Astyanax mexicanus: one gene and its partner. The protein of the gene in region 1 interacts with the protein of each later gene in a pairwise test. Links are inferred from orthologs where the notes say so. Each region holds a gene or a part of one and is shown on either strand. Other genes may lie near its edges.

Region 1 (8,370 bases):
GATGTAACTGAAGGGACAAACTGGGCTCCTAATGCCTGATTGCTGAGGGGCGCATGTTGCTCCATGGAGAGCTGAGAGGAAAGCTGTGGTCCTTGGGGCTGCTGGATTACTCCAGGCCCTGTAGACTGCACTAGCTGTGGCATGACCCCACCGGTGGGGGCCTGGGCCATCTGGGGTGAGGGAGTCTGTTGTGGTTGCATCAGTCCTTGAGAAAGCGACTGAGCTACAGCAGTGGGCACAGTGCCCACAGGTGGCTGTGAACCCGGCATCATCTGAGCACTGCCTGCCACGGTGACAGGGGGGATGGAGCTGGACAGGTGGGGAAGGGCTTGCGCTGATCCCGGAGCTGCAGCCTGGATGATCTCCTGAGGCGGCTGCTGCTGAGTGAAGTCAGGTGGCAGGCTGCCCCCTTGGCTTAAAGGGTTGACGTGTGCTGGGGCTACCTGGGCTGGTGCCGCTGGCTGCTGTGCAGGCGGGTAGGCCATCTGCTGTGGGGTGACTCCTGAGAGGCCCTGAGCTGGAGTTAGCTGTGCTGCTTGGGCATATGTCATCTGCTGTGGGGCCACGGCCGGTGATGGATGCCCAGTGGCCGTCTGCAAGCCTACCATATTTACCGCATTTTGTTGCTGCTGAGTGCAGGCTGGCAGTGGGGTGGTTGCACCAGCCTTTAGATGGGGATGCACCATGTCCTGGCGAGGCATCTGAGGTTTGGAAATGTTAGCAGTAGTGGGTGGCTGTGGAAAGATCTGCTGCACAGCTGAGGAGCCTCCGATATCACCACTGCTCACACTCTCAGAGTAGTGACTTAGAGTGCTGACTGAGCTGCTGACAGAGCTCACACTGTCTCTTTCTGAGCCCAACACGTTATCAGGTACAAACTGGCGGATGCTCTCTACTGTTCGGGTGCTAGGTGCATTTTCAGAGGACCCAGAACCTGGAGCCTCTTTGTCATAAAACTCTGTGCATGTCCATCGGCCTTTCTTAAACGGCTCGGAACTAGAGTCCAATTTGACCACTCTGAAGCGTGAGCTGGTAGTAGCAGGAGGAGGCATTTGTGCCTGCTGAGAATGAGTGTTAGAGCCAAGGATAGCATTTGAAGGCTGGGTAGCGTCAGCTGTCCCCACATGACTACCACTTGTTGACCCAGTAACAGCAGTGGCAGTGGTGCCAGTTGTCATTGTGATGACATTACTTACTACACCACTCTGCTGCTGCATTAGGTTTACGTTTTGGTTGTTGGTATTATTCAAGCCAGAGGAAAAAACTACACTGCTACTGTTTGTACTTATGCCACCCAAAGCAGGCACATTGGAGTTTAATATATTAACATTACTTGCATTGCTTGGTAAACGCTTAATACTTATCGTAGCACCTGATGCCGCAGTGACTATGCCAGTAGATGTTCCTGGTGCACCAGCAACCAAGGGCTGACTAATGACATTGGTGGTGGCAACAGAGGCGTTTTCCAGAATTCCACCCACATTCGAAGGCATTTTCTGGCCTATGATTGGTACAGATTCAGGGCTTGTTGTGATGGTGGAGGTCACCACACTACCGAGTGGGATGCCAGCAGCTTGAGTAGCGCCTGATCCTGCAGAAGAAGTGGAATGAGTATTTCCAGAATGCGTAGGGTGAAACTGATGGTGGTGGGGCTGGGGGTGCCCCGCATTGTGGTGGTGGTGCTGCTGTTGCTGCTGCTGAACATGATGATGATTATTATTTTGATGATGATGATGATGGTGGTGGTTAACAGCACCATTGACCATAGTGTGTGTGCCGCCGTGGTGCGTCTGGGACAGAATAGGTGGCTGATTTGGAGATACAGCCCCCGGGGTTTCTGCCTCGTGAAAGTTGTTGAGGGTTTCTTCAGATGAGCTCCTCTCAGGTCCACCGGTGTCATTGGTCCGTGACAAGGACACATCCAGGATCTCAGAAGAGGAGAGGTCCTCTGTGTGGGACTCATCCAGATCATCACAACTTTCAGTGTCCTCAGTTATGCTGTTGTTTGTGCTGACGGAGATCTGGGCAGGGGTGACGCTGGTGATCTGAAAGCCACTTTTCTTTTTAATCTGTGCCCCCGGGGCCACGGGCAGGTTCTGGGGCAGCAGCGTGGGCTGGGGGTGGATGCTGAGGCTTTGAGGAGGGAGCTGGGAGCCGAGCGTGGCCGCGGCTGAGGCCAGCGGCTGGATTAGCGCGGAGGGCTTGTAATCGTCTGCCGGCATCAGGTTGTTGCTAAGGCTGGCACTTCCCGAAGATGTCAACGCGGAGGGAGAAGCACTAGCGGTGTTACCGGCAGCCCGTCGGGCAAAAGTCGCCGGTTGCGCCATTTTTCGGGCGCTCGTCGAGTCTCCTGCTGGGTCGGGGTGATGCATTTCTAGGGGGTGGTCTCCGGCAGAGTTGTAAATACAGCTTACAAGAACTGCCGTGTTGACAAGGTCTTTTTCAGTAGGAATTTCACCTCGCCCAAGTAGTTTCCACATAAAACTAATGGCCCCTTTCCAAAAACAGCCAGGAGTCGATAATTCCACTTTTGTTCAAGGTATTTAAACAATGTCCCGGCCAGGCTACGCGCTAGATAACTAGCTAGCTAACCTGGCTAAACTGAATGCTAGCTTATGGCTAGCTTAGCTAGCTAACGTTAGCTAAGTTAAAAACAGTCGTCGTTTAATGCTAGCTAGCGTTAGTGCTCTCAGCTTAGAAACACTGGTTTACACTCAGTTAGTTAGCAAGCTAACATAACTAGCTTATCTTAGCTATTTAACTGTCGAAGACGTTTCAGATCCAGAACGTTGTCAGATATGACCAAATTTAGTTAGCTAACTAACAGTTCATATTATCCAAACAGCTAGCAAATACAGAAATTTATTATCAAACAAACTGAACACAGCTGAGTTAGCTAACCTAACGTTTTCAATATCCAACAGCGGTGGCTGGCTACAAGTGCATGTAGTACAGTTACAGCTACTAGATTGTGATTCGCATTTTGAATCCGGCGTTACAGCAGGCGTAAAACCATACAATCCACCGACGTTGTCAAGCTGGCAGGCTGTATCCAAAACGAGTACCGTTACCGGAGTCCGTGTTTATTCCATGTCCCCGTCCTCTTTGTTATAATCCAGTGTTAGCTAGCTAGCTGCACCAGTAGCTAAATAGTAAGCTAGTATCTTCTTTCCCAACAGCTCTCTGTCTCTCTTCAGCTCTCTCTCTGTCTCCTTGTAATGTAGCCTGTGCTATTGCTAGCCAGCTATCTGCCTGTGACGAGACCGAAAGGGGGAGGAGAAGCTGCTGATAACATGGCGACAGCGCATGTCTGTTTACGCCGCCAACAGCCAGACATAAAGCCAGTCTGAGGGAAAGGCGGAGGGAGGAAAGAGGAGGGAGGGGTGAGCCTAGAAAAAAAATGAGCATAGAAACAAGGGAAGAGTCAGGAGAGGGTGAGAGCGGGGTGGTCTGTTGGAGAGATCTGCAAAATAGCTTGCTAGCTAGTTATTTATCAGCTGAAAAAAGACTTGACCGTACTGTAACCGCTGTCTCTATGGCTCTAAGTGTCTAATATAATATAATATAAAATACTTCTGCTTTTAAGTGTTTCAGAGGGGTTGTGAGACACCCCAGCAGCGGAGAAAGAGAGAAAGCTTTAGCTTACTACGTGAGAGAACCGGAGGAGGGGGGCTTTATCTCCACTGGACCCCTGAGGTTGTCAGTGGGCGTTGTCCTCATGTCGCTTATGTCCTTTTGGCCCGGGTGATGCTAGCTAGATAGCTAAGTTGGATAGAAAGATACAGCTCTGAAAAGCCCACTTAAGTTTCTTTGATTTTGTATATATTCATATGCATATGTGTCAGTAAAATAAATATTGCTGTTTTATTCTATAAACTACGGACAACATTTCCCCCAAATTCCAAATAAAAATATTGTCATTTAGAGCATTTATTTGCGGAAAACGATAAATGGCTAAAATAACAACAAAAAAAAAAGAAACAGAGCTTTCAGACCTTAAATAATGAAAAGAAAACAAGTTCATATTCATAAAGTTTTCATAAAAACTTCAGAAATCAATAGTTGCTGGAATAACCCTGATTTTAATTACAGTTTTCCTGCATCTTGGCATGTTCTGCTCCACCATTCTTGCACACTGCTTTTGGATAAAACTGATAAAATTCAAGCAGTTCAGTTTGGTTTGATGGCTTGTGATCATCCATCTTCCTCTTGATTATATTCCAGAGGTTTTCAATTTGGTAAAATCAAAGAAGTGTCTAATTTGTAAGTGGTCTCTTATTTTTTTCCAGAGCTGTATCTTGCTAATTAAATAATCAGTTAAGCTAGCTCGCAGACCAAGCTCAGTTTTAAACTCATTATGGCTCACATTTGACATTATGGATGATTGAAAAAAATATTTAAGCAAATGCATGTGGGTACCAGGGGATGTCCAAATATCTGGGTCTTAAGAATCTGCCTGGTTTAATTGGAGACAATAACATGTTGTCACTGTTGAGTAAAAACATTATATGAGTATACTCTAAAATGAGCATACTTTTCTCCAAATGAAAAGTCATGAGAATGAAATTCATTTTACAGCATTTTTATTGGACTTTGTAGCATTAATTTGTTGTGTTTCACATCAAATTAACTTCAGGATATCCAACATATTTATTACACATTGCATTATTAGTCCAAATCATACACCCCTAGTTTGCATGTGTATGTTCCTGTGGATGACTTGAAGGTGGTACTTTGAGTTATCTGTTATACATTATCAGGGCTATATGGCATAGCTAGCTAGCTATTTAGCTTGAATAGACCCACCTAGGATAGTTTGTTGACTTCTGTCTGGGTCAGCAGCTTAACAAAGTGTAAACAGACTGTATGGGGGGAAACAAGCTTGGTGGCTAACTAACATGGTCCAGAAATGTGTCCTGTTTTCACAAAACAACTAGCTACATTGAAAGAGGTGCCAGATTTTTCCACAGACAGAAGAGAACAACCAAACACATGTGTTCACTGCACAGCCATTGCACACACTGATGGTTGGTCCTCTCTGTTTAGAGTAGGAGCTAAAGTTCTAGGCTCAGTAGTTTAATGTGTTAAGGGTTTTAAAATATGACTTAAGGGGAAGGGGCTGCGCAACATGATAAACATATGGTTATATATATGATAAACACATATATATATATGAAAACTAATTTAAAATGATTTAATATTATTATATTATTGTATAATATAGTTTATACTATGACATTTATTTTAAATAGTTGCAGAATATTAACAAAAACATAAATGTTGTGTCCATTTTCAAATGTATTTATGAATGTATTCCACATATTCCTTTTTCATTATGAAACTTAGAAAAATACATAGCTTTGGTGGGATTGCACTGGCACCTTTACACTCTTATGGATTAAGAAATATTCAAACATTGCTTAAAGGGGTTGGGACTTTATAACAGTACATTCTTTGGACATTTACAAGACCTGTTCCATACTGTCTCTCTGATGTTAATGTGTAAAATAGGTCTGTAGTTAGCTGGAACTTTTCTAGAGTTCTTTTTTGTCAGATGTGGTGTGTAGTGTGTAATTGCTAGTAAAACAAAAAGCACAAAAGTTGAGGTAGGGGTAGCATAGTTTAGTCTGTTGTTAGTTGAGTTGTTTGTAGTGCTTTTGATAATTGATTCTAGTAGTGTAATAGATAGCCAATAATGAAAGAACATATTTTTTAGTGGGGAAATCAATTTGGTAATTTTTATGTCATATGAGGTGAGGTACTACTAAGTACTAATTTGAGATAACATGTTAACATATATTCATTGTATGCACATACTTACCTGAATGACCTTCTTTTCAGAGACTAAATTCAGATTTTAGGCATATAACAGTGTCTCATTAAAACAGCTGCTTTGTCAGAGGTTCAGAAGCTTTTAGATCCAGGACTTATTCAATGAAATACAAATGTGTACCCCTGTAATGCAAAAATAACTGCATGCGGTACTTCATTGGACAAAAAGCTGATGTGACCTACAGTTGATAGATATCCCTTCTCTTTGGACTCGTCAACAAACCTGAATGAAAGTGAGGTTGATATGATTGTAATCCGGAACAATAACTGTTGGGAAACGATATAAGATGCCCTTCCGAAATGAATGTGTGCCCTTTGTCACTGGCAGGCAATATTCAGCCCAGGCAGACAGGCTTGTACCCATCCATACAAATGTCGGAGGGAGAGAGCCAGCGAGAGCTGATTGCAATGTAAGCGTCTGGTGCTGTCAGCAGCTTTAAATCACACTGGCACTCCACAACAAAAAACACAGAGAGCTATTGTCCTCCTGAACAATTATGGTCAATTTAAACACTGCTGTCTGCTTTAGTTTGTAAACATTTATTAAAATGATATCTTTATGATTAGATAAAAGAATAGGGCCCACTGTTGAGTCACTGTTTGCATGTAATCCAAGGCTTCAGTTGAAAGCAGAACAACAAAACGCTGTGCTTTCATTGCTTTTCTCTGCTGCTGTCATGAGAGCATTTAAACATGTTCAAAGATGTTTATGGGTTTTGAAATATGTGAAGCCTGCAGATGAAGCTGCTGCATTGACACAGTTGTCCTGAAGCGAGGTGAAATTCCTGAAACAACAAAAGCCTACAGGAGAGAGAGGAGCAGCAAAGCAAAGCCTAAAGTCTCTGAATACAGATGTCAAGCCTGTAGTTGGGGCATTGTGTCCACTTGTGAGCCAACTTTAAGTCGGAATTTCTGATACTCATAGTGTTGTCAGACCAGTCCAGTCATCCGCTCATTTGGTAAATTATTGTGTGCAAATGCCTGCGATATGAAATGGTACCTGTGATTATGATTGGTCATATTTTTCCTGTCCTTGCCCTTTACAGTTGATTCAGTCATTAATGTATGTATGAATAAATAAGCTTTAGATATCCAACATATTAAAAAAATTGTAAGAAAATGCTTGATACATTTTACACCCTTATAATTTTAGTATTACTCCTGTAAAGGTAACATCGTAACGCTACAAAGAGAGCTACATTTCACTAATAATACATCAGAATTGTGGTGTGCCATGCCTAGAACACATTTAACCCTTTCGATAAACTACAATTTTTTTGAGTCCGTTAGCTAATCAAATAACAAACGCATCCTAACATAAATGCACTATTGGGACCGTTTGCAGTAGTTATTTCTAAAAAGCTATTTTAAATGCACATATATAACAATAGTACTAATGTGTATTCTCTATGAAGGAATTGCTTATGTGACTCTAAATATAATTAATGTTGAGATTTGTTGTTGTTGCTGTTCCTGATTTATCATTCATGGTGTTTACTACAGAAACCAGTATTAAGAATAAAGATTTAGATTATTTGAAACACTTTATTGATGCCATAGATAATTCTCTTCCAGTAGTACACTGACTTAAACATCTGTCAAGTGTTGTACCTCAAGGCTTAATACTTAAGCCATTATTGTTTTTATACACATAAACCACTTTAAACTTTCTTTCAAAAGTGCTTTTTTTATTTGACAGTTATATCTATCTATCAAACTAAGATTGATTTATTTTCACAAGAGTTTGCTGCTGGCTTTTGTTGTGACAGCTGATTTAAAGCTAATAAATGATCTCACAACCTTCACCAAGGCGCTTGTAATACGTTTTTGCTAGAAGGTGAAAGAGAGATTGTTTTTTTCACTTGTTCCATTTGTTTCTATTGTGCCACATGCTATATTGTCTCTCATAAATGAAACTCATAGATCTAAGGTCCTCCTGTGGGAATGTTAACCTGGTTCTATTTGTCACTGCAGCTTTGTCACTGTGTAAAGGTCACTGAGTTTTTTTCTTTACCATTAATTTCTAAGACTTTGTTTGGACCTGTTGCAGAGTCACAGATCGGATGTTGTGGTCTTGCAAGTGTTTGCCATTTTGTGAGAGGAATTTTGGTGCAAATTATTGGTGAAACAAATTTGAAGAGGGTGATAATAAAGCTTCAATCTATCTGTGTGTCTTTCTTAGACTTTATGTAATGGAAACCAGGTCTATCTTATGCTTTATCTGAAATACATGAGTGTCAGTGTGGAGTAAGCAGTTGTAGTTAATTTCAATGCAGCTGATTTCATTTTGGTGTCCTTGAATAAGACAGCAAGGACTGTGCTCACAGTATTTCAGCACTCTGTCATTGTTATAACCTTGATCTTCGTTAAGGTGCTTGTTTCAGAGATTTGATTTCATATGAAGATGTGATGAAGGATGGGCTCTGCCTCTGAAAGCCTTTCTTTATGTACCATGTCTTGTATCAGGCCTGTCAACTGAATGTGTTCTTGTTGTTGCGTAAGGATGGAACACAAAAGAAGTCAGTAGATAAGTTCAGT
Region 2 (8,068 bases), on another chromosome or scaffold:
CTATGTAGGACGAACCGCTAGCTGATAGCGCCCTGGGTTACCCGAACACTCAGGGTTCCTCAGTGTAGGACTGCGGTTGGCGGCTAATGCTAATGCTAATGCTGCTGCACCCAGCCTTAGTGCTGAAGAAACTTCACTTAAAACTCATTTTTAGACAAAGTATTGGAAATCCAAGCTATTTACAGTAGTAAAAGGATGACTTTGTATGTCCCAATGTCTCTCTCCCTGTCTACATGTCTCTGTATGTCCCTATGTCTCTCTCCCTACCCATCTCCCTCTCTAAATATATCTGTATCTCTCTGTCTGTAAATGTCTCTGTATGTCCCTATGTCTCTCTCCCTTTGCAAATGTATCTCTCTCTCTCTCTCTCTAAATGTCTCTGTATGTCCCTATGTCTCTCTCTCTTTACCCATCTCCCTCTCTAAACTCAGGGTTCCTCAGTTTAGCACTGCGGTTAGCAGCTAATGCTAATGCTATTGCTGCTGCACCCAGCCTTAGTGCTGGAGAAACTTCACTGAAAACTCATTTTTAGACAAAATATTGGAAATCCAAGCTATTTACAGTAATAAAAGGATGAGCTTTGCTCCCCAAATAAACAGTTTTCAGGAGAAAAAAACATCCAGCACTCGTTTGACTTTGAAAGTAATTTGTTCTTTTAAAAAATTACAGTTTTGTTGATTTAGGCGCATCCCTCAGCTTCCTTATTAGAAGAGAAACATGGCGACACCATTGCTCACTTCAATGCAGGCATCCTAAATAGTGTTGCTTAAATTGTGCCTTATAGCCTGGTGTAATTTGTAGTCTGAAAAATATGATAGTTTTCTATTAAAGCATGTAAATTTAGTTTTTCCCTTTAAAAACACATTGATGTGACCATATTCAAACTGAATTATTAGTGTTCGGTGATGCAAATACTTGAATTCACCACAAAATTCATGTAAATCCACCAGAAACATCTTATTTTCAGCATTTTATCAATTATTAAGCTGCTTTTTTTACATATCAAAGCCTTTAAAGAGCAAAATTATTGTGTAACCTCTAAAATCTGAATATTTTACAGCATCACGCCATAATTCCACCTCTATTATCAGGTCCCCCCTGTTTTGCTTCATCATTCTGGCCTCTGCATTGTAGAAAACCCAATGTAGCCACACTCAGCCTGTGTGTGTGTGTGTGTGTGTGTGTATGTGTGTGTGGAAGAAGAAGAAACCTGGCCCTCTGGGTGCTACAGGCTTTGTCAGCATCGCTGCAGAGCATCCATCGTTGGTGCAATAACAAACGCCACAGTCATCGCTCCACACACACTGCAAACCGCACACACACACACACACACACACACACACACACACACACACTCCAGCATGCAGTAAAGAGGAGAGCTGAAACCTCAGCCCACGCTTTTTACGTGGCGAGGACGAGGGATTACTGTGGGACACGGACACACTGCGTGTTTTTTTAAAGAGCTGCAGCTCCAGCGCACACACACACACACACACACACACACACACACAAAGGCCATAAACCTGCCCTACAGGCCACAGTGCAGATCAGCACCAACACACACACCACAAACACACACACACACACACACTGCGTACACAAACACACACCAGCCATCATATAAAACACATACAGCTCTGATCTCCAATTATAAAACATCTCTGCTTAATTCATAATAAAAATATACTAATTTTATTCTGCAGAAACCAGACCATAATGCCCCGCCCTATAAAATTCATTAGATTGTCTCTATCTATCTTTTTTAATGTCTCTGTATGTCCTTATGTCTCTCTCTCTCTCTCTCTCTCTCTCTCTATCAGACTGTCTCTCTCTCTCTCTGTCTGTCTCTTTCTTAATGTCTGGGTATGTTTCTATGCCTCTCTCCCTACCTGTCTCTCTCTCTTTCTTAATGTCTCTATGTATATATATATACACACATATATACCCTCTATATAGTATGTCCATATTTGTCTCTTTATCTCGCTTCTGCTCTTTGTATGTATATATTATAGATCTTTAAATGTCTCTCGTTCTCTCTTATAGATGCATGTCCATATACCCCCCCAATGTCTCTGTATGTCCCTGTCTCTCTCGATAAATAACTCTATATGTCCAATATAGAGTTATGGGTCTCTCTCCCTACGTCCCTCTATCTAAATATCACTGTATGTCAATCTCTCTCTCTCTCCCATCTTTCTCTAAATGTCTCTATAGCTCTCTCTGTCTCTATCTCTCCAAATGTCTCTGTATGTCCCTGTCTCTCTCTCTTCCCCTCTCTCTTTCTAAATGTCGCTGTATCTCTTTATCTTCCTCTCTTTAAATGTCACTGTATGCCAATCTCTCTCTCTCTTTCATTTCTTTTTAAATTACTCTGTATGTCCCTAGGTCTCTATGTGTCACGTCTCTCCCTACCCCTCTCCCTGTCTAAATATATCTGTATCTCTCTGTCTGTAAATGTCTCTGTATGTCCCTATGTCTCTCTTCCTACCCCCTCCCTCTCCATATGTATCTATACCTCTCTCCGTAAATGTCTCTGTGTGTCCCCATGTCTCTCTCCCTTTGTAAATGTCTCTCTCTCTCTCTCTCTCTCTCTCTCTCTCTTTCTGTAAATGTCACTGTATGTCCCTATATCTCTCTCTGTCTCCCCAAATGTATCTCTCTCTCTCTCTCTATAAATGCATGTGTATGTCCATATGTCTCTCTCCCTCCCCCATTACCTCTAAATGTCTCTCTCTCTCTCTCTATATATATATATATATATATATATATATATACCTGTGAAGGCCTAATTATATTTCTCTCTCATTGTCTCTCTCTAGATTGTCTTTCTTTTTTTCCCACTCTATTAATCTCTCATCCTTCTCTTTTTCCATCGCTCTATCTCTCTCTCTCTTTATTTTTCACTGCCTCTCTAATCATGTCCATCCTCTCACTGCCCTCACTGGACACAATGATGGTGTTTACCCTTTTTCCAATCCATCACACACACACACACACACACACACACACACACACACACACACACGCACACACACGCAGATTTTCCATCCTCCTCGGACTGCAGCTGCTGATTAAACCCCCTGCAGCCCCTCATTTACTGAAGATCCACCCTGTTATCTTACCTCAGCATCTCTCCACGCGCAGCAGGACAGTAGAGTCAGTAATATGAAGGCGTCTTTATGTCCCATCCTGTCTGTCTGTCTGTCTGTCTGTCTGTCTCTTCCTCCTGATCTTCCTCCTGTTCTCTCTGGTGTTTAGTGGAGTGCTGGAGCTGAAGCTGAAGCTGTGCTGGAGGATCTGCTGCGCATTAATCTGAGCTGCTGCTGCTGCTGCTGCTTCGTGTCTGTCTGCTCGGTGCCTGCCTCCAAGCTCTCTCTCTCTCTCTCTCTCTCTCTCTCTCTCTCTCTCTCTCTCCCTCTCTCTCTCTCTCTCTCTCTCTCTCTCTCGCTCAGCACGCCTCGTTCCTTTTCTTTTCCCACCCGTTTTCAGTCAGGCCACACCCTCCAGCTCAATTCTTCTCCCATCATTGTCAGTTTCTGAATCAGTTTCTCTGATTTTGCTATTTATAGGTTTATGTTTGAGTAAAATGAATATTGTTGTTTTATTCTATAAACTACAGACAGCATTTCTCCCAAATTCCAAATAAATATATTGAATGAGAAATGGCTAAAATAACAAAAACAAATGCAGAGCTTTCAGACCTCAAATATTGCAAAGAAAACAACCCTGATTTTTAATCACAGTTTTTTTCATGCATCTTGGCATCATGTTCTCCTCCACCAGTCTTACACACTGCTTTTGGATACCTTTATGCTGCTTTACTTCAGTTTGGTTTGATGGCTTGTGATCATCCATCTTCCTTTTTTTTCCCCAGAGCTGTACATATATATGTATATGTATGATATGTTCCTGATTTCTTATTCTTAAATAAATTAAATGTTTTAAAATTGAAGTTCTATCCTATATTGAGAAGAAACTTAATATATGTTATATAATATCAGCATGAGTTGTTTTAAAATGTGCAACCAATAAAAACATTGCAAACATATACATTCACTGATCAGCTTGCATAGTAAGATTGTTGTTGCTGGTTACTGTGTGTCAATCTGGCAACCCATCTATGGATGGAAAATAATATTTACTAATTAAAAACATATGGAACTATTTAGTTAACAAAAAGTGTTAAACAAACCAGAATATGTTTTATATTTTACATTCTTCAAAGTAGCACCTGGAATTTCAGGCTTTCAGTTAACAGCTGTGCTGAACTCATCAAGAGTTAATTACTTGAATTTCTTGTCTCTTAATAAAGTGTTTGAGAGCATCAGTTAAAGTAAAGTAGTGAAGAGGTAGAGTTACAGGTATACAGTGAATAGTGAATATTTGAGTAATGTTCGAATCCAGATTATGAGAAGCAAGAACTACTCAACTAAATAAAGAAAAGTAAAAAATGACTTTAAGAAATGAAGGTCAGTCAATCCGAAACATTTTAAGAACTTTAAAAGTGCAGTCACTGCAAAGACTATAAAAAATGTTATGATGAAACTGGCTCTTATCAGGACCGCCTCAGGAAAGGAAGAGCAAGAGCTTCCTCTGTTGTACAGGATAAGTTCATCAGAGTTACCAGAGTATTTTAGTTTGTTTAACAGTAATTTTAAGTTACTACATAATTCCTTATGTGTTCCTTCATAATCTAGATCACCTCATTATTCAAAACACTAAATGACTGTGTGAATTTTAATACAAAGGAAATGTTTAAAACATCATTATTATTACTCTATGAAGTTCCAGCCAATCACAGTGCAGGCCGCGGCACACTGCAAGCCAATCACAGCGCAGGCGGGTGGGCCTTGTCGGAATACGGGTAGGGAATGCACAGCGCCTGCGCAGAGAGGTGCAGAGCCATGTATTACCTCAGTGCGCCACCCAGTGGACAATAAGGTGTATAACACAAAACAGTCAGGGTACTGATCATCGTTTAAACAGAGCAGCATTATATACTGTATAAAACACTGAACTGAACTCTGTAATACAAACCATATTCAAACAGCACTGACCTGACCTCACTCAAAACACACTGCAAGAGTCATTCATTAATCACACTCATTTATTAATCACACTCATTTATTAATCACACTCATTTATTAATCACAATTATTCATTATTCTAGGATTACCAGTCAGGATTAATAAACAACTTTTACTGTATTATCCCAAAGTACGATAATTATTTTTAGATTATTATATTTATATAAAATTTGAGAATTTAACTTATATATTAACTAATGATAATAATGATAATGAGGATGATGAAGAAGAAGATGATGATGATGATGACTATTGTATGATTATAATATAATCATATAATATTATATAACTATTATTATATTATATGATTTTATTTAATTACATTTTTTGAGAATTTAACTTTTAAATTACTATAGGGATGATGATGATGAAGATGATGATGGTGATGATGATGATACGAGTAATGATGATGAGGATGATGATAATAAGACTAATGATGATGATAATGAGGATGATGAAGATGATGATAAGAATAATGATGATAATGATGAAGATGGTGATAAGAGTAATGAAGATGATGATGATGATGATGATGATGATGATGATGATAAGAGTAATGATGATGATGATGATGATGATGATGATGATGATGATGATGATGATGATAAGAGTAATGGAGATGATGATGATGATGATGATGATGATGATGATGATAAGAGTAATGATGATGATGATGATGATGATGATGATAAGAGTAATGATGATGATGATGATGATGATGATAAGAGTAATGATGATGATGATGATGATGATGATGATAAGAGTAATGATGATGATGATGATGATAATAAGAGTAATGATGATGATGAGGATGATGATGATGATGATGAAGATAATGATGGTGATGATGATGATGATGAAGATGATGATAAGAGTAATGAAGATGATGATGATGATGATGATAAGAGTAATGAAGATGATGATGATGATGATGATGATGAAGATGATGATAAGAGTAATGAAGATGATGATGATGAAGATGATGATAAGAGTAATGAAGATGATGATGATGATGATGATGATGATGATAAGAGTAATGATGATGATGATGATGATGATGATGATGATAATAAGAGTAATGATGATGATGATGATGATGATGATGATAATAAGAGTAATGATGATGATGATGATGATGATGATGATGATGATAAGAGTAATGATGATGATGATGATGATGATGATGATGATAATAAGAGTAATGATGATGATGATGATGATGATGATGATGATAATAAGAGTAATGAAGATGATGATGATGATGATGGTTGTGCAGCAGGGCTCAGTGTAAATCTGTACTGCAGTTTAGTGCGGATTAGTAATGCTGGCTGTGAGACACTAGGGGGCAGTACAGGCAGGTAAAAATGTGGGTCAACTAAAGATGGAATTATGATATAATTTTATATAATACTGTAATCTGATATTCATTTATTCATTTATGAGAAAGGACTCTCCTGCTGACGTAATCTGGGCCTGGTAGACCCAGTATAACCCAGTAAAACCCAGAACCTGTAATAAACTGCTGTTTCTGTACAGGTCCTATTTCTGATTATACTGTATTTCTGCTAAATCATACAAAACATGATCAAACAAATGAGATGATCTTCTATTCTATAGATTTTGATATAGAGTTTATTCGTTTTTTTTTTTTTGGAAAAAAAAGGAGGTTAAACTAGCTAGCAAGTTTAAACACATCAGTCAAATGTATTAATCTGGAACAAAAAGAAAACACCAGTAATATATAGAATTAGGATTTTTAATTTCCATCACAGTATTTAGTGTGCTGCTGATTTAAATTACACTCAGAGATAGGGTTACTATAACTTACTATAGAGTTCTATAGGGCAACAATACACTGATTAACATTAATGCTCAGAATATTTGCACAGCACTGGTACAGTACTGGCAGCCCTGATGAGAGCCAGTTCCATCATAGCGTTTTTTGATGGTTCTTGCAATTGCACCTAAGGATACCGTATTTTACGGTACCACTAGTAAGAAACAAGGCTGTTGCACAGTAATCTACACAGATTTCTTTATTGAAAACTTTATTTTGGTGAGTAAATGCTTCCATTTATTTATAGTAAGCTTAGAATTCTAATGTTTTACACCGCAGTTAGCATTGGTTAGCGGCAGTAAATGCCGCCATACAGTGCTACACTGAGAAACCCTGAGTGTTCTGGTAACCCAGGGTGCTATCAGCTAGTGGTTCGTACCACATATTAGCTTGTTTTAACACGGCAAACATGCAGACTACAGTCTAAAGAGCTAGCGTTGTGATTAGCGGCTTATGCTAATGCTAATGCTGCTGCTCCCAGCCTTAGTGCTGGAGAAACTTCACTGAAAACTCTGCACTTCAGCAGAGTGGTTTTACTGCTCCTTAATACCTGACTGGTAGAATTTATACATAAGGAGCACTGTAGATTAAAGTCCGAAAAATAAGGTGCATACGATAATTTCAAAGTTCTTAAAATATTTAAAGATATATTCTGATTTTTCTTTTTTTTTTCATAGTTTGGATGATTGTGGTATTAATCGACAATGCAGAAAATTTTAAAATAATTTAAGAAAAAAAAAAAAAATCTGAATTTGTGAATATGAAGGTGTGTCCAAACTTTTGACTGGTGTTCTTCCACTGTGGATACGCGGTCTGACACAGGGGATCGCCTTGTTTGCTCGGTGCATGCGCTGAGGTTCCAGTGTCGTCAGACCCATCGCTACCAAACGATACAGGAAGTGTATCGGTCACGTGGTTTTCCTTAACTTGATACGCGCACCGACACGGGGTTTCGCCTTGACAGCTCGGCGCATGTGTCGAGGTTTCAGGGTCATTAGACCCATCACTAAGCAGAGCATCCTGACGTGCGCTTATTCACTCTCTCTCTCTCTCTCTCTCTCTCTCTGTCTCTCTGTCTCTCTCTCTCTCTCTCTCTCTCTCTCTCTCTCTCTCTCTCTCTCTCTCTCTCTCTCTCTCTCTCTCT

The links.
Region 2: the proteins of tsc22d1 (region 1) and aplp1 interact in a two-hybrid assay, tested with the Homo sapiens proteins (2 studies listed by BioGRID and IntAct). The link is inferred for Astyanax mexicanus from reciprocal best matches to the Homo sapiens genes TSC22D1 and APLP1.

Annotation. Positions count from the first base shown.
Region 1 is NC_064418.1:28,487,805-28,496,174, forward strand, and holds the start of tsc22d1 (TSC22 domain family protein 1), read right to left. Parts: upstream 3,354-8,370; 5' UTR 2,481-3,353; coding exon 1-2,480. UniProt on the Homo sapiens protein: Transcriptional repressor. Acts on the C-type natriuretic peptide (CNP) promoter. Acts to promote CASP3-mediated apoptosis.
Region 2 is NC_064425.1:43,602,040-43,610,107, forward strand, and holds the start of aplp1 (amyloid beta precursor like protein 1), read right to left. Parts: upstream 3,369-8,068; 5' UTR 3,189-3,368; coding exon 3,123-3,188; intron 1-3,122. UniProt on the Homo sapiens protein: May play a role in postsynaptic function. The C-terminal gamma-secretase processed fragment, ALID1, activates transcription activation through APBB1 (Fe65) binding. Couples to JIP signal transduction through C-terminal binding.